3 linked regions of the Styela clava genome follow. The protein of the gene in region 2 interacts with the protein of the main gene of each other region in a pairwise test. Links are inferred from orthologs where the notes say so. Each region holds a gene or a part of one and is shown on either strand. Other genes may lie near its edges. The genes, in order: proteasome subunit beta type-1-like, translation initiation factor eIF2B subunit alpha-like and proteasome subunit alpha type-1-like.

Region 1 (5,659 bases), on a different chromosome or scaffold from region 2:
TTTTGTTGTATTTTTCATCCATGAAACTTGGATATTACTATATGCAGAGGTCACCTACTTGCATGATAGTCAGGGGATAGATTCTCCAGAGAGATATTAATTGGGTGTAGCTGGCGAGGTGTGAAAAATGATCCTGCAGACATCAGACCAGGTGAAATTCTGTTGTGGGTAAATAGTATTCTTAATTCCCCAAGCAGGCGCTATTTGACATATTTTGGCTCTAAATGTACACGGACGGGCAGTCAAGACTAACCATTGAAATGCATGGAACTGCGCATATTAAACAAAATGCATGCAACACCAAACATTCCTTTGAAACTTCTCTAATGTAATACCCATCATTCATACACTTTTATATTCAAGAATGTAATTTAGTAATAAAAGGTGTGAAAAATGATCCTACAGACCAGGTGAAATTCTGTTGTGGGCTCGGCAAATAGTATTCTTAATTCCCCAAGCAGGCGCTATTTGACATATTTTGGCTCTAAATGTACACGGACGGGCAGTCAAGACTACCATTGAAATGCATGCAACACCAAACATTCCTTTGAAACTTCTCTAATGTAATACCCATCATTCATACACTTTTATATTCAAGAATGTAATTTAGTAATAAAATGCAAAGCATTTTTTCAAACAAGCTTCGAAATGCTCACATTTACTGACAAATGAACTTTTTTGAGCATCTTGCACTGTTAGATAGTGCTAATAATGTCACAGAAAGTCCTGGTAGAAAAACTCAGTCTCTTCTAAGAGGGAATCGTTCTGTCTTCACACCATTGGCATCAATAATATGGATAAGAACACTATCTCCAGTCGTTATATCTCGTTCAGCAGCAGATATGAAAGCATCCTTTACTAGCTGTAAACCTTTCTGTTTCGTAAGAGGTATTTTCGGAACATTTTCCATATTCTTGAAACCTAAAAAAGCATATTTAATCATGTCATTTTTTAACTCGTTAAAAAATCATTGTTATATTATATCCATGTTACTTTACAACATACCTATCTGATTGTCCAGAAGAGGTTGCAACAATTCAGCAGCTGAACCTTCTGCCCTATATGCTTCACGTTCATAACATCCAACCGGATCGTATGAATACACACAACCTTTGCCTTCATCATCTATGCCAGCCAACAGGTTGTAAACATAGTAAGGAAAGAATCGCTTGTAATAAAGGATGGTTGATAGCATGGCGGCTATTGCACTGACACTTGGCTTCTTGCCGTGCTCATGCTCATATAATTTTATTCTATTTTGTATGACCTTTTTTAGGGTCAGACTATCTCCATGAAAACCTGCAGCTCCCAGCACAACTTTGGGGGTTAGCTGTAAAGTTTTTGGTTCTTCCCGGCTGTGTATAGAGAAACCCTGACTCAGCCTGGTATCTGCTGCAATTATGGCAAAATCATCTCCAGAAATCGCCAATGTATTACCACCGTTTGAAGCATATGGGGAAAAATGTTGCTGCTTTGGTGCATTGATTCCATAGGTTTGAAGTTTTCCAATACTATCCATTTTTTTATTTTTGACCTGTATCGTGCATAATTAATCATAAAATAATAATAAGTGAGTATTTAATATAGAATAATTTTAATATATAAGCACCACAGCTAACGAACAATGAGAAATTCGTAACACCACATTTTTTACTTTCAATAGTTGACACGGAAAAGTAGGGAATTAACTAAAAATTCTTCAAAGGCAAAATATGAAATTATTTACATCCTATCCATATTTGCAATAGGATTTACATATTTATCCAGAGGGAGAGGAAGTTGACTACAATGTCACAATCGATATGGGATTAGTCCGCCATTTATTTGTTTTTAGACATATGGACTCAATGATGGAGAATTACAACAGTCCTCTTCCACATACTGACATAGTTGGGCGGAATTCAAGCTTACAAACCCAAGCACACTAATCAGAAGTGCGATGGCAAGGGTACCGCTACCGGTACCGTATTCCTAATGATGAGCGTGATTCGCCATACGGTACCGGTACTATAATTGACATTATCAGACTATGGGTGGTAATAAACCTCACTGCCTATAAAATAGATTACCTGAATACCAAAGTTGCTTATTTCAATACCGGTAGATTCTGAAATCTGGAAAATGTGAAACTGATTTAAAAATTACAGATCTAGACTATCTAAGATTTTAACGTAGATTTTAAAATCTTAAATGTTCTTCACAGTAATATGCTTATACAGCTAACTTATAAGTATAGAGTCAGCAGCGCAACCTAACCGTAATTTGAGCTACAACGTAGAGTTTTAAACACGAAAGTCGCTCAGCCTCCGATCGAATCGAAAATTACAACAGAACGTATTATTTAGTAATGACGCAGCTAAAATAAATTGCCGTATCATCAAACGGATGGCTGAATTCGTCATGCCGTGCCAGATTTTCACGTTGAAATTTATGTTGTACTCAGGGAGAATACAACACTGATTGTTCTTGTTGACTTATACTGAAATTGGGTGGATTAGCCAGGTGAAAATTTTCATAAGTACCTTGACTAGCAACATAAACTAACACATCACTGCGGTACCGGTACCTTCATTTTATGTTTTGCCAGTGCTGGAGTAATTAAATTGCCGAGAATAAAGTTCCGAAATATATTTTATTGTATTGAGTGTGCAAAATGCAAATGGTACGATACCGATACTTGCTGACTTCTGTACTTGACAAATTTATCTTACAATATTGTTGGGTGCCTGTATAGGGGCATATTTCTCATGCTGCCTTTATCATTGTGATCAGTTGAAACAGGTCTAATTTCAGAATTGATAAAACTTTTTATTTTTTTACTGGACTGCCGCCTTCATTGTCTGTCACAGTTGTTTTTCATGGTCTTTTATTAACGTTTGGTAACCACCTAATACTCAGACATCATCATGTTTTTGAATGCAATAACATAGACTACTATGTTTATCTTTTTTCTCTTTTTATTTCGTTATTATGTCTTAGTGATTGTATGTGTGTGTGCCTTGTGCGTGCGTGTATTCATTAATTTAACACATTTTAGGTGAGGAACATTGTATCACTTCTTTTGACAGCCCCTTACTCACAATTTTAAATCTGTATGTCTCAAACAGTACATGAGGTTTTGGGGTCTAGTATAGTTTAGTACCGCAAGTACTTCCAGTAGGCGTAGCATAACGAATTTTGCATATGTTATTACTAACCCCTCACCTGACTAGGCCATCCAAAAATTGAGTGGAAGTGGTGACTCCTCTTCGGCCCATGGGCCGGGGCCACGGCCCATCAAATTGGGCCTAGGCCCATCAGGCTATGGGCCGTGGCCCATCAAGTTGTGTAAAGGAACTATTCACTTGGCTAACACAGACAGTCCCCAAACTCATAATAGAACTATAATGTAAAAAATCTGAACAAAATTTTGCCCTAACCCTAACCTGGTACACATACTACAGGAGTTTATTTTTTGGTTCGAATATTGACAATTTTGTAGAAATTGAAAATTTTGGTAAGATAATTGAATTTTTCCTGACGGGGCCACGGCCCATAGCTTGATGGGCCACGGCCCATGTGGCCCAATTAGATGGGCCGTGGCCCCGGCCCATGGGGCGTAGTGGAGTCACCACTCCTGTAGCAAAAATTACGTCACCTTCACGTCATCGTGCTTGCCAAAGTATCATTACGATCGCCCGATATGTCATCTGCGCAGCCGATAACAAACTCGCTAGCGCCGGTGATCTTTCTGCGCGTTTTGGACGATCATCCGCTTACTTTGGTGGGCCTTATTATGTAACTGTGATGTCGCAATGGCATAATTTTTCGGTGACATAGTCATGTGAGGGTTAGAAATGACATATGCAAAAATTGTTAAGCCAGGCCAATTAGAAGGGTATGTGGTACTAAACTATACCAGACCCCAAGTTTTGTTTGCTCACCTGATTCTGTGATCAGTTTTGATTATTTCTTAGCTCAGTGGTTGGCTCATCGTGACCTCTGCTAACCCTCGGTTTCTATCCTGATTTCTCATACCAACTTATTTCATTGGTAGGTTTAAACAAGCATAATACTATTGGATGTCTTCAGATACAAGTTAAAATCCTGTGGATTAAAAGATGCAAAGCATTCTTAGATACTTCAACCCTTCAATTAATGCAGTGAGGTAAAATGAATTTTTATTATGTTAAAATTCAAAATCACAGGAAAAAAATGATTATTGGTGGTTATTTTATCTGTCAAGGCAATAGATTATTTTTTGGCTCACCTCTTTATTTTCTATGAAATATTTTTATCATGTAAAAAATTTCAACAGGGGATTCTACACATGCTGCAATGTAAAGGCACCAAATGCTGCACATTATGACAATCAAACATTTTATGAAAATGTGAATTTCGGAGAAAAACATCACCCAGGCAATGTTAGAGACAGACATCGGCAAACGAAGGCTATGCAGAGGAAAGCTTTTCAAAAACTTACCCGGGTAAGGGTAACTGACAATAGTGCACTTGCATTGCAGAGCTATTATCGTTATCCCCGAGTGATACAAGTCTACCATAAAACTGGATATGGAAGGGTGGGTGACACTGTACTTTTAGCAATAGGAGGACTGATGAAAAGAGCACTTATTATTGGTCAAAAGAGATCAATGGGCCCCATGAAAGCCAGAATGGATTCTAATAATGTAATTTTAATAAATGATGATGGTACTCCAGATGGCACAAGAATTACAGTCCCAGTGCCATCTTTTCTTAGAGGAATTCAATCTGCAAAGCAGAGAGTACAAATTTCTAAAGTCATTGCAATTGCTGGGAGATTTGTATGAAATACCTTCATGTTAACTGCTTCAACTTTCTTTCCTCAGTTATGCATGTTAATCCAACAATGCGATGGAAGCTAAAACTGGAGGTTTGTTCAGCTTTCCATCTATTGGTTAGATTGTCTAACCTAGTTATATGCTTCTGCTAAATATGAGACCATTGTGGAGATTGGTATATTGCAATTGTGCGAGTATCTCATAAATTTCTTCGTATGCATTGTATTATAAAAGTATTGACACCTTTTATGTGAAATATGATTGTTGACAAATCCACAATGTTGGATTAGTATTGTTGTGCTTGTTTGGGTTGAACATTTGTGGAGGTTGTACCATGAACTTTTGTATACTAACAGTAACAAGTCAAGCGCTAGTGCAAAATCAGGAAAGTTCATCCTTATTTTGCTTCATATGATTGTGTAAATATTGCCATTTGCTGAACCATACCTACCAACTATTTTCAAATGATGCCTAGTACCAACGAGAACCAGGACCCTAAAACAGGATTTCGATTGTTTTTTTTTACAAACGCAATGTAGTGAATGCAATATTGCATAAATGCTTATTGCCATTGAGATATTGCAATGTCTTAGTTGTACATTACATTTAACAAATATTCATGTAAACCATTCAACGTCTTGGAATACATAAAAATTGAATATAAGTATAATAAATTTATTTCGACTCCATAATCAGCACAACAATACATTTGACAGATAAAAACAAATAAATAAAAACTGATTATGAAATCAGGGGAGCAAACGAAACCTTAGATAAGGTTTATAACTTACAAAATATAAGATGGAAGGTTTTGCCAAGAAGAAGTGGTACGTGTTTACTCGCCTCAAATTATTAAGTTA
Region 2 (6,647 bases):
GTTGGTATGCTCCATCTTACTCTATATTTATGTCGAATATCATAATCAAATTCTGTGTCACCCATATAATCGATACAGTATAACCATGCTGAATCTCGCTTCCAAGTCTGTTATAGTAAAATATATCTAATATGAATATATTGTATTATGAAAAATGTTTCATATAGGTAATCGGCGAAGAACTAGAATAACAAGTTAATATGCTGCAAGAGGATATCCGAACTCCTTGCTCTTGTAGAACCTGAAAACTATTTATAGTCTATAAAATTAAACAATTACCGTAACTTGTTAGCTATTACAGATCCAGCCTTAACTTATCACCAGTCAAAGATTGTACATATAGGTACTCCTAAAGTATGCACACCAAGATGTCTCACAACCTGAATCTAACCTGGTACACAACCTGAGTTCACGTTGTGCGCCATCTTGGTGTGCATACTTCAGGAGGACCTACATAATTGGCTTCAACATTTGAGAGCATAGTTTAGTGAAGTTCTCTATATAATACACATTTGCATACACATTACACATATATAAAATTTAGCACAAAGAGCAAAATTCAAGACATACAGCGATGAACTTCTCTATCTGACCCACTCCATTTTCTGGAGTGAAGTTTTCACAAGACGACCATTCTATGTTTGGAATTCCAAAGTCTTCTTTATCTTCAAATATTATTGGAAGGTTGGCCTGAAAATATATATATATATATACGGTCAGTGATGAGCTAGAAAAATCGTAACAACCGGAACGCACCAAATTCGTGAAAATGTAATATATATTTACAACACGGCGCTACCAGTAATTTTGTCTATCGTAAGATAGAGCCGAAGAACTACAATGAAATTATCTGAAATATGACTTTTTAAAATTGAAAGAATATTCATACTAATTCAATACAAATGTTCACAAGGGTCAAAGGTCGGCAAAACATTCATTATACATTACTGCTGTGCACTAATTATTTGCCAGCTGAAATGTAAAAATAATTATGATGCAACAAAACATCAATTAATAACTAAGTTTCCCGAGGAAACCAGACTTTTCGAACCATAATTTTATTTTAACAACAGGAACGCAATGAACTGTCCAACAACCGGAACGCCGTTGGTATATGAAGCTTCAAGGCCTATCCAAGCCAGATTTGACATATCATATAAAATATACATACCAAATTATGTCTAATTTCAACTGAAACATCATGAACAGCTTTTGCTATTACGTCGTCGACTATTTTGAATGCTTCCTCATCAAATTCAGCAGGATCTTCATCACTCCATCTTACAGGCATTTTTTAGTCACAACAACTATACAGTAGTATCCCTAAAACCTTTAAACCTATCAATATGGTACTATGAAATTAATGATAACAAGGTAAAAATAGTGAGACACAAATGAAAGTCGCACAATTCACAACACAGTGATGAAAATGATTTATGAAAACTACAGGATTACATTAAAATATACCTAGTTCTCCAGTAAGCTATTGAATATAATCATCAACAAATATGAGCAGGTAGTCTAATCCAATGATCAGATTTTAGAATTCATATAAGTTTTATTGTCTATCATTGAAGGCAAGCGGATTTAAAATGTTCTCCCGTATGACCTTGTAAGCAATTCTTTCAACAGAACAAATTATCTGAATTTATTATCAAATATCCAGAGGGTTCAGACCGAACTCTAGAAGAGTAATTTTAGTTTGTTCCTGTATTTTAATTCCTTCTTGATCCCATTTATCCTTAGCTTCATCAATTTTTCCAATAAGTGAATCAAGCGAAGCCGTAAGGACTCCTTCGTATGATATTTCCATTTCATCGATTCTTTTTTCCAATATTCTGATTGTTTCGTTTTTTTCCTGTTCCATTTCTTCTTTTTCTCGTTTCGTTGTTTCAAGCTCTTGTCTTGCATTCGCTACTTGTTGTCTTAGATGTTCTACTTCTGTGTTTAGTTCTCGCATTCTAATGTCCATATCCGTGTGCATCGTTTTATATTGTCGAGTCAACTCTGCACTGACATCTTTTTGTTCCAATTTCTGCTCCTCAAGATTTTCCTCCATTTCATGAAGACGATTCTTCCAATCTGATGCTTGGGCTTGTGATCTCCGAGCAATTTCATTTCGATGAGCGAGATGTTCTTTCAGAATTTCAATTTCTCTAACAGTCTTTTTAAATTTGTCTTCTTCTTTTGCTACATCCTTCTTTTTGCCCTTCTTTCCTTTCTTTCCCTTGCCCTTTTTCTTTTTTGGTGGCATTTTATTTATTTACTATAATAGAATTTGATAGTGCTTGAATAAATAAGAAGTAAAATAAAGCATAATGTATATCAGGGGTCGGGAACCCATGGCTCGCGAGCCATATATGGCTCTTTTGATGGCGGCATAAATATGGCTCCCAGAAAAATCTAATATTGTAAGGCTAAGCTTACAATTGTTAACGAGTTTTCAAACCTATTTATAGCCAAATTTGCCAAGACGTTTGAAAACGTGCGCCCAGCGCATGTCTATGTTATTTGAGAGAATTACCAGACAAGCATTGTGACAAAACTAGGGGATTCTGGAATCTATTTTGTGACGCCACAAAGTGTTATAGTTTCGGAGCTATAGAGAAAAGCTTTTCGTCCGTTTGTACGTACTAATTACAGTATTTGTCATATTTAAATCAAACTAGTACAGAGATGCCTAAACGAAAGAAGGGTGATGGTGATGTGTATCGTAGATTTCAACTTGGCTGCATGTGAGCAGCCGTTGAAGCATCAGAAGTCACATTAAATGTATATTGACATTGTATTTGTTGACTTTTGAGTAAAATTTCAGGCCTGAAATGCTGTATGGCTCGCACGGAAATGCAATTGAAAATATGTACCTTTTATGGCTCTCTTGACCAAAAAGGTTCTCGACCCCTGATGTATATGATATATGGTAAAATCATGACAAAAAATCAGGCTGTGAGATTAGTTATTGCTAAAAATATTTGATGGTCTAATCACACTTTTGTGTACCTATAAAGCGTTAACAACTTATCTATCTATCTTAACTATCTAACAATATGAGATTAATTGTAACCAAAGTATTTCACATTACAAAAATATTATTCATTTGCAATATTTCAGTCATTTTCAATCCAAATATGGTTTCATGATGAGTCAACATAGGCTTTCCATTTTTTTTTGTATTGGCAGCAGTCAGTTCTTTTTGTCGGCTTTCCTCTCCTCCGGGATAAATATGTAAATCCTCCTCCTCCTCCTAATATACCTTAATACAGCTGTTCATTTCTCTCTGTCACGCATTAATACCGTACACATATAAAATTCCATTCCAGTTGTTATTATTATTTCTTATACATATAGAAACAAGTCATAGCTTAAAATAGTTACTAGTTCGCTTACTACATACCGGTAGCCTTGTACGAGCGGCAGAACACAAAATAAAACTCTCAGCCGAACGAAGCGTGTCGCGTTGTCATGGAGTTCTGATACACTTGATATTTTCAAGAATAATAATCCGGCCCTTGACCCCTTTGACAGTTTTCGTGACCTGGCTTCAATGACATTTATTGTCATTGCTGGCACCAACGACTAACATACGCCTGGCACTTTCCAAACGAGTTTACTTGTTTCATAACTATTTTTCATCACTACTACTAAACTGGAACGCTCCAGAAGACAAAACGACCAATGGTATTTTGATTTATAAGGTACCGGTACCAAAATTTCGGAAACACATCTAAAACATACAAACAGATAGCGACTCCAATATTTACAAGTTACAACCATGTCTGAAAATCTGTCTTGAGTACCGGTACCAGTATGTAAAGGGACACAACCATTGCGTCATGTTCCCAATCATGCTGTGCCGAATGCACTACAGGAGTGGTGACTCCTCTACGGCCCATGGGCCGGGGCCACATGGGCCGTGGCCCATAGCTTGATGGGCCGCGGCCCCATCAGGAAAAATTCAATTATCTTAACAAAATTTTCAATTTTTACCAAATTGTCAATATTCTAACCAAAAAAACATACTCCTGTAGTATGTGTACCAGGTTAGGGTTAGGACAAAAAAAATTCAGATTTTTTACATTATAGTTCTATTATGAGTTCGGGGACTGTCTGTGTTAGCCAAGTGAATAGTTTCTTTACACAACTTGATGGGCCCCGGCCCATGGGCCGCAGAGGAGTCACCACTCCCACTCCGAATGCATACCGGTATCCGATGGAAATGACCTGCGACAAAATTTGATTTTGGTAACTTGAAATTCTATAGAGGTAGTCTCATTAAGCTTGCTTAATTAGTAGGTACCGCTAGTAGCCTAGTTCTGTTGTAGTCAGCAATCAGCATATTCAGATATTACTGTATTACCGGTACCACAGTCAGGCAGTTGGATTATAAGAAGGATTTACAGATTTCTGGATTTATTAGACCCTATAATTTGTATTTGGCTTTTATCCAGTACCGGTACCGCACCATGTTCTTATATCTAATCATAATATTATTTTATAACTGAATAAAAGCTGTAAATGTCATCTGTATAAACATTTCTCAAAATATTTCGCAATGATTTTTCAGATATCCACAATCAAACAAAACTGGACCCTGTCACCAAACAGAATGCTCACTTGTTAAGTGTTAATAATATTCCATATCTGAAACAATTGAATCGTAATTCTGTAATTATTTCTTCCCAGTGATTTTCACTTACAGACTTAGCAGTGGCATACAAGGCCTTTTGGCGTAAAATACATTAGTGATTTGTACTCCTGGACTGAATAATAATAATTTCCTCTTTTTTCAACAAATATTATTTGAACCATATCTCTTTTTATCTTTGCAGGTATTGTTTTGTATATAGCAAGGGTATTCACAGAAAGAGATCATGAATGATGAAGAGATAAGTGAATATTTTTTGTCGGAATTACGAAACAGTACTCAATCATCTCCCGCAGTTGCTGCAATCAAAACTCTAATAGAATATCTGAGAAAGGATCATGCTGAAACATTATCAGGATTACGAGATAATCTAAAAAGTGCAATAGAAGTGCTTGTGAGGACTGACTGCACAGGAATTACACCTATCTTGTCTGGATCGGAACTGTTTCTTCGCTTTATCACCCTATCTTCTTTAGAACACTCAGACTTCGATAAAGTGAAGGATATTCTAATAAGCCGTGGTGAAATGTTCCTGCAAAAAATATCATCCAGCAGACAAAAAATTGCCAGACTTGGGTTGCCATTTTTGAATGATGGTATCAAAGTTCTTGTTCATTCATATTCAAGAGTAGTTTTGAACATGTTAATCAAAGCTATGGAAGCTCAAAAGCGTTTCACTGTTTTTGTCACTGAATCACGACCAGACATGAGTGGTAATATAATGGCGGAAAAATTAAGAGAACATGGCATCCCAGTGACTGTAATTCTTGACTCAGCTGCTGGTTATGTTATGGAAAAAATAGACCTTGTATTGATTGGTGCTGAAGGTGTGGTAGAAAACGGTGGGATTATGAACAAGATAGGAAGTTACCAAATTGCTGTTTGTGCAAAGGCACATAATAAACCCTTGTATGTTGCTGCCGAGAGCATTAAATTCGTTCGCCTTTATCCATTAAATCAGCAAGATGTACCGAATGAAATAAAATACAAAGCATCAACAATCAAGTCCAAGAATCTTGACCAAGAACATCCTAATGTAGACTACACTCCTCCATCTTATATCACTTTACTAATAACTGATTTGGGTGTCCTGACACCTTCTGCTGTAAGTGATGAACTTATCAAACTATACTTATAAAGTTGTAATGGTTGGAGGTTGAATATTCGCATCTGGGAGATACCACCAATACAGAATGGTGGCCAGTATTCCGAGAGTCATAAAAATTTTTGTCAAGATCTTGCAAGTCTGCATGGAATGCTATATGGCCATGTTCAGGTCATTTTAATAACACATCAAAGGTGCAATGTGGCATATCAATATTGGTGATAATTATTCGGATTCTAATTTTATTTTTAATTGGCGCGGTTTTGATTGAAGTTTTTGTTGTATGATCTGTTATATCACAGCAAAATTATTACTTTATAAAATGAATTTCAGAGGACTATAAGAGTACTTTCGAATGTCTTGCTTTGGTTTAGGAGAATTTGCTCAGAGTTGAGTCATTCATCTGAGCAAAATTGAAGGAGACCACTGAAATTCCAGCTTTCAGCTATTCCAGTCGCGAATGAATTAATAATCCAGAGAAAAGAATTAATAATGGGAAGAAAAATATTTGTTCCAGAATGCGGGACCCCCAAGTAAAGTTAATGATTATTGCCACATCGTCAGAATACAGATGTTTTTTTTATTCAGAAATGGAAAATTCTTTAGCTCTGCGTGCCTATGGGACATATCCGTTGATATGTCGGGTAGAATTATATTTGGTGAAGATGTGAGTTCTATCAAGTCATATCGACTTTTTTTCTACACATCAATTCACGTACTGGGTTGCAGTGTGGAAAAATTTGGTTTACCCATAATGTAATTTATAATCAGATGCCATGCCCATACCTCAAAATTCATTGCTCTTGCCGGCTGTATTTTGAACTATACAATGTTACTGAACACAAATAAAATCTCAGTATCTGTATTTACAGAGAGTAAAAAATTCATCTCCACAAA
Region 3 (7,247 bases), on a different chromosome or scaffold from region 2:
ATAGTGGTTTGCCTACGTACCGACTTACTAATATTTAATTTGATGACAGCACATTTGAACGTACGTACATTTGCACCCGTAAACTGCACCTAGGACATTCGCACCTGCATACTTTTGCACCACCGACATTTGCACCCAAACATTTCCATCCATAGATCGTAGCACCCACATGTGGATTGCACCCGCGAACATTTGAACCCATGTGTATTTGCACCCACGTACATTTGCACCCACGAACATTTCCACCCAGGTACATTTGCATCCATGAACTTTTGCACCCACGAACATTTGCACCCATGAACATTTGCACACTGGATATTTGCAACCGCGGACATTTGCACCCGCGTATATTTGCACCCACGTACATTTTCACCTATGTTCATTTGCACCCATGCACATATGCATCCACGAATTCTTGTACCCATGGCATTCTCACGCATATGCATGCGCCTCATAACAGTCATGTTCGCGATTAGACAAACTTTAATTGCCAAATATAAATATATTTGAAAAGAAGACGGATTACAAATTTTAAGTAGCCCTTATTCTTAGTGAGAGTCGCTACGTTTTTATTGTCATTGCGAGTTATAATCCTTTCCAATTGTTCATGGGTGCAAAAGTATGCAGGTGCGATTGTACGTGGGTTCAAAGATAATGACAAACCGTTTAATTTTATCTTCACGTTGCTGTCTTGCGATGTTGTTACACTTCGCTAATGAAGCTCTTATAACGACGTTCGAGGTTATATTCTCCCACGACAGATATATTTTTACTATTCCTTTAGTTTCTTACTTTTGAAGAGTAGACTCAGTCTCATTAACCCAAGATGCGATTCAAGATTGCTAGCAGCCAAAAGTATCTATTTTCATGCTTTTCTCACACAAAAGGGTCACCACTAGTGCAAAATTGTTGACAGAGTATAATAAGTATAAGTATATTTTGATTTTCCCGCAAAAGAATCATACAAAAAACACAAGCAATGAACACACAGAAGATTGGGAAAACTGGCAAAACCTTTATAAAGGTTTAATACATGCGCCAGTTTGCCCACGTTCAACACACAAACATATATTCAAAATAAAAAAGACAAAGGCCAGAACGGGTATCAGAGTGTATTGATTAAAGAAAGAACTGATATTTGCCACGATTTTTTGGATTGTGGTCTTGCATGTCAAAGCATATTTATTTGAAAATTTTGTAATAAGCCTTAGAACACCAATGCTGGAAACCAACTGCATGAAAGATTAATGAAAACATAATATAAATCAGCAATTCAGACAAATTAATCTCGATAGAATCATGGTAAATTAGACACCTGTGACATACTATAAATCAGCAATTCAGACAAATTAATCTCTATAGAATCATGGTAAATTAAACACATCAATAGATGGGGTAAATGTAGGACGGGCTGCAGAAAGCAACACTTTATCCTAAACATTTATTTTGAAAAGCCATCAGTTTACTTATTTTGTAAAGATTCTAAAAAATCATGACCTATTCAGTTCTGTGATTAGCCCCCTTCCAACGAAGGGGCGGGAATATATGCATTTTATAGTTTCGTACAAATGTGTGAACATAAAATACTGCAAGCACAAGCATTTGGGAGAAAATAGTCTCTGAAGCTCGAGTCACAGGTCATCACAGAGCCTTGATTCAAATTCCAGAGTTGCAGAAAATTTCAAAAATGTGGTCAGTCATAGTGGATTTCAAAACAAAACTGGAATGGATAAATATGAGTAATATTGACACTAAGATTTGTAACTTCCATTAAACCAACTTAATCATGTATTAACAAATCATGTATTGACAACTTTTATATCGGTATTCGGTGCTAAAAATAACTATTTCGAATTTGGTACTTTAATAAGATATTTCCAATGTAACATCTACAACACAGCAAATAGTGTTTCTGTTGAGACGAGTCAATTGTTTTAGATACGCAACACTGGTTTGTATGGCCATCACATTAATTTATGGAAATTTACCAATGTATATTACAACGAAAGCAAAAAATAATAATTGGCAGTTAAACGATAAAATAAAACGCTTCCTTATGAAATTTAAACATAAAATGATTTGTTGAAGAATAAACTTAGGTGTGCTACATAAACAAGTTATCAGAGGCTACATAAAAAAGTTATCAGACAATTTAAAGATCTGCGAGGCAGTATTGCACTTAGTTGCTTACAATAACAATTGAAGAAAATCTACACTGCAATGTTTAAAAGATAAAAATCACAACCCCACCAAAATAACATAGAAATGTCTGGTACCATACCAGAATACTCCAAATACACTTGCAATATTAGTTCTATATAGCATATTACACTAAGCAATGACACTGGCACTATAGAAGTGTTAGACTGAGGTTTAATACTGCTTCATAGGAATATCTGCTTCTGCCATGAATACAATTCTATTATTCCGAATATTTTTTCCCCTTTTAATACATTTGAGTCAGGAGCAATGTATTTTTTAATCCTCCATCCACATTATAACAATATCCACCCCCTTCAACCTTGTCTCGCCTACATGACGCTCTCCATAGGTTGAATTCGTGTTTTGTTGTTAGTCCTATATGACAAGTAACAATTCCAAAAAAGTGCAATACTTTGTGAATACAACATCCTGCGAATAGGACACAAAATTGGTAAGTTGAAAAATGAAAACAAGTCATGTAATAAAAATAGTAAATGAAATCTTACCTGTATTGGAAAGGAACAAATTGAAAATTCACTATTTGAGCTGGGATCCATATCTTAAAAATATAACCTTTTATTTACACAAAACAAAAACAATTCATGAGCTATGGATATTGTATATTTACCAGCCAATTAATCTTCAAAACATCAGGTAAATCATGTCTGATACGATGTTTCATAGCCTTCGTTCCTTGACCAAATAATATGGTTTGCAAAACAAGGAATCCGAAGAGGAGGGGTGGAGACATAATGAACTAAAATAAGATAAAACAGTTTAATTTATGAACTCAAATATCATATGTATAATAATATAAAGTGTATACCTGATCCAAAAAGACATTGACTCCTGTTGAATATCCACGCATACTCAGAAACACATACCACATTGAAACTAAAGGACCCTGAAGAAATTTTAATTAAATCAATAAAGAAATAGCATAAATATCTGTGACTTATATTAAATATATAATATGACTAATTATGAATATTCTCATGATTCAGTTCAATTTGCAAACTAAGATGTGCACGATTTAAAAATTGAAATTTGACATATAATGAAGTTAATCGACTTTGAATAATACATAACAATAATCTTACAAGATACATTAAAGCACATGCTGCCATGATGGTTGTTCGTCGAAGGTCACAACCTTTTTTTTGCTCAACTAGTTTTTGTGAGATGACATCAGCAAATGTTGTGAGGATACCTTATATATGATAAGTAAAGCAGCTTTAAAAATACAACTCTCATGCCTGCATGCTGAGTGCAATTCCATCACTGGCACAACTGAAGTTATGAGAAGAAACAAGGTGTTTAAAAGATCAACAATGAATATCCAATAACAAAAGAGAAAATATCAGTAGATCAAATGAGTAATATGCAATAATGAAAATATGACATCTCAATTCATTCAGACAATACACAGATACCTGGATACAGCGGTGCAATACTATGCAGATATGGATCATGCACATCTGAGAACAAGTTGAAATGGATGGCTGGATGGGAACTTTTCATTCATAAACCAATACCGGTAAATTGAACTGTCTATTCTATTTTCAGCATTATTTCAATATAAAGACTGAAAAAAGGAAACGTTTACCTGCTGTGCCTGTTTGAGTTAGTAAAGGTCGTTGTTCCACAAGTTCTCCATAGGCTTTTAATAACACGTCGACGGTGAGTGTATTCATATTTCCCAACCTACCGTACTGCAAAACTACACACACTGATGCAGCGTTGTTTGGAAGATACCCGTAACCAAAGTCACTTTGCCCGTAACCTCTTGACGAACACTGACGAACGCTGACTGAACACGAAGTGAAATATGAGAAACTTTACTTCCGCATCGTGTTTCACGAATATTGTTTTTTTTTTATATTTATGTTATTAATACTTTAATAAATTTTGAATGTCTTCTAAAAATATATATATACATATAAAACTATTGTTAATTATCTTTGGAAACTGGTTTTGCAAAATTTTCGTTACGGTTCACCGAGAGCAAAACTGCTGAGCAATACAAGATTTCATGAATCATCATTCATGCGACGAGTTCCAGATCAGCGGTAGCTACTATATTGCTTAGTTTTCGTTTATTGATTTATGCTGCTAGATTAGTTCTGTTAATCCAGTAATTGTTTAAATTTGCTAAAGATGGTAAGTTGTTAAGATTAGTTAAAGATCTATTTATGTAGTAACAACACGAGTGCCATTTTGATAGCAATACATCCAGACATCTGTAAATGCAGTTGGAAACTATGCTCTATTTATATTTATGTGTCAAATCTTTTCCAAATAATTGAATTGACTGAATCATTTTAACCAAAATATTTGATTAATTACCGTAAAAGCAGGTAACTTCGGATGATTTCACTATATTATGAACAATTTCTCCGCCGTTTATTGTTCAATTGAAGCCAAACTTGGAATATAATACATTGAAGCCTTTCTCCTCGCGATAAACTCGGTTTCATATCAATCAATACTTTTTTTCATTCAAATTATTGACTTTATTTGCCTGCCGATCTGTATTCCAAATGTTTATAACTTCGGATGGCCACTTTTCGCTTTGCGTCACTTCGTCGTGAGAGAGAAATGTCTGCGTGATCAGTGACGCGTGATAACGTCGCTGCGTAGAACTTACGACGCCGTGATTCGTTTTGCGTGGTGCACACTGACGTTCATCTATGACGGCCGTTTTTGTTATTATTAATTCTTCCGGGTCGGCGGACATCAAAGTTTTATATATCTGGTGTACCCGTGTGTTTACATCGGCAACAGCTCTTGAAGACAAGAAGGACTGATTTCAAAACCCAAATTAATTTTGTTCTGATTTAATCTTACGTGTTGGCTTTGATCTTACTTATCACCGTTTGTATACTATTAATCGTTCGAGTTTAAAGCGAACGGTGATATTATTATCGTCGCCGAGATGGAGATATTTATTAAGACGATGATTGATGTTGTTATGCTTTGCACCCGCGATTGTGCGAATACTGAATTTTTATTTATAATAATGATTGAATAAATCGGCCGTTATGCATTTATACTTGGCATAAGGCTTTTGGTCCTGATAGCGGGTCGGACACTAATTATAACTATTTCCCTCAAGTTTTAACTTTTTTTTTGAACAAAACAATACCCCAACGGTTATTATAGCTAAAACCGTTACCGACTAATTCACAATTTTATCTGCGGAATTTGCGAACTCAGCACTTTACTCGACGATTTTGACAGTGTCGCGCCATAATTATTACCGCTAAATGCTTCAAAATACAACGCATGTAATAATTTTGCCCAGCCCTATTCCTGACGTTTCGCAAAACTAAACCATTTATCTCTTGACTATTCTTAATTTCATGAAAGTGCTATATCTTGCTATTATGATCGTTTCAATACGAAACAAAAATGAGACAACATGGGACAAATGAAAATAAAAAACGGACGAATAAAATAAGTCGTAAAAGTAAAAATGGAAAACAATTTTTAATACAAAACAAAAATGAAACGAATGAAAATAATAAAATAGAAAAATGGATGATGAATTACGGTAGGTAGTAAAAGTAAAAAAAATGGAAGTGGACAACAATATGGAACAGTGTAGCTTGTGGCCGTGTTGATAATTCAGATATAATGTATTCACAGGCAGATAGACATGAAACGGATAAAAACGCCAAAAACCTCCAATCTCCTGCTGTGTGCACCTGTGCAGAGTTTCATGCTCACCTGTGCAACATTCTACTCTTAATATATTATCATCGCCGATCGTAAAACCTTGTCATTGTGATAGTATAGATACGCGTATCTGGCTGTTCATCAGCCTTACGTATCAACAACATCTACACGGTCGAAGAATGCCGAAATGTTAACACACAAATTTAATGTGCATTAATCGGATTCACAATAAATAAACAGCATATGACCGGGGCTATAATTAAGTTTTTGTAGGATTTGGTGACGAGGATCAGGTAGGAGTTTTCACTTTATATTTAACTACACGTGGCGCCACATAGTCTGGCGTTCAAATGTCGCAGCGAGTTACGCACGAGCTACGCAATGTGACGTCGGCCTTAAATGGAGCGAAATTGAATCACGTTGTTGACGTCACGTTCAGCGTAAGCACCGTAACGTCGATATTTTGACGAAATTTTTAAATCAAAATAATATATTTTACTTAAATCTCGTACGACATCTCGTGATCACTGTAATTTTCCTTGTACATTGTGTATGCCCTCTAGCGATTGACGGTCTTTTAGTGAAGTTAGCGTCGATAGAAGTCGCTATTTTAGCCGCTCAAAAGCGAGGTGTCAATTTTTGGCAAAAAGGTGATTTTTTGTGTCAAAAAATAAATCCTATTAGGCGACTGAATATGATAAGAGATTAAGATATATAAGGACTCTCTATAGAAACTGCCAGAAGCAGAATATGACGTAATTTAGTCGAGATATAAACGATTGAAAATTTCATCCGAAGTTATAAACCATCCGAAGTTACCTGCGTTTACGGTATGTACCTGTGATAAAGATATTTTTGAGGGAGTCTTCATAATATCGATAAAAATTTTCATGAAATAAGTTACGGACTTTGTAGTTTGATATTGATGTTTTATTAAAAATGAATAAAAAATTGCCTTGTACAGTAATAAGCCATTTTGATGCCAGTCACACATGCATTTTAAGCTGACATGTTCTCGTACAGCCGTATGAGCATCAAGTTTCCAAATTCATCATTACATTGTAGACTACAGTTGTATCGTATACCTGCTTATCGGTGATAACATATTATACCTATATTATTATTTTGTTTCATAAACACTGCAAACTCGCAATGCAAAATCTTTTTGTTTTAGTTTCGAAATCAATATGACAATGATGTGACAGTTTGGAGCCCACAGGGACGTATACACCAGATTGAGTATGCAATGGAAGCTGTGAAACAGGGATCTGCTACGGTGGGATTGAAGTCAAAAACACATGCAGTAATTGTTGCACTAAAGGTAATGGGATTCAAGTGAAAGAATATGAAATTGAAATAAACCGATT

What was found.
Region 1: the proteins of translation initiation factor eIF2B subunit alpha-like (region 2) and proteasome subunit beta type-1-like interact in a two-hybrid assay, tested with the Caenorhabditis elegans proteins (2 studies listed by BioGRID). The link is inferred for Styela clava from reciprocal best matches to the Caenorhabditis elegans genes eif-2Balpha and pbs-6.
Region 3: the proteins of translation initiation factor eIF2B subunit alpha-like (region 2) and proteasome subunit alpha type-1-like interact in a two-hybrid assay, tested with the Caenorhabditis elegans proteins (4 studies listed by BioGRID). The link is inferred for Styela clava from reciprocal best matches to the Caenorhabditis elegans genes eif-2Balpha and pas-6.

Annotation. Positions count from the first base shown.
Region 1 is NC_135255.1:8,349,041-8,354,699, reverse strand, and holds proteasome subunit beta type-1-like, read right to left. Parts: upstream 1,536-5,659; 5' UTR 1,520-1,535; coding exon 1,006-1,519; intron 922-1,005; coding exon 740-921; 3' UTR 586-739; downstream 1-585. Other genes in the region: large ribosomal subunit protein uL14m-like, read left to right, coding at 4,101-4,147, 4,298-4,808. UniProt on the Caenorhabditis elegans protein: Non-catalytic component of the proteasome, a multicatalytic proteinase complex which is characterized by its ability to cleave peptides with Arg, Phe, Tyr, Leu, and Glu adjacent to the leaving group at neutral or slightly basic pH.
Region 2 is NC_135258.1:9,394,843-9,401,489, forward strand, and holds translation initiation factor eIF2B subunit alpha-like, read left to right. Parts: upstream 1-4,244; 5' UTR 4,245-4,263; intron 4,264-4,829; 5' UTR 4,830-4,871; coding exon 4,872-5,783; 3' UTR 5,784-6,084; downstream 6,085-6,647. Other genes in the region: A-kinase anchor protein 14-like, read right to left, coding at 1-107, 571-690, 1,172-1,291; dynein regulatory complex protein 12-like, read right to left, coding at 1,655-2,254.
Region 3 is NC_135255.1:11,108,328-11,115,574, forward strand, and holds the start of proteasome subunit alpha type-1-like, read left to right. Parts: upstream 1-4,203; 5' UTR 4,204-4,359; coding exon 4,360-4,362; intron 4,363-7,054; coding exon 7,055-7,201; intron 7,202-7,247. Other genes in the region: mitochondrial inner membrane protein Mpv17-like, read right to left, coding at 2,532-2,631, 2,709-2,761, 2,831-2,959, 3,029-3,106, 3,303-3,412, 3,809-3,896. UniProt on the Caenorhabditis elegans protein: The proteasome is a multicatalytic proteinase complex which is characterized by its ability to cleave peptides with Arg, Phe, Tyr, Leu, and Glu adjacent to the leaving group at neutral or slightly basic pH.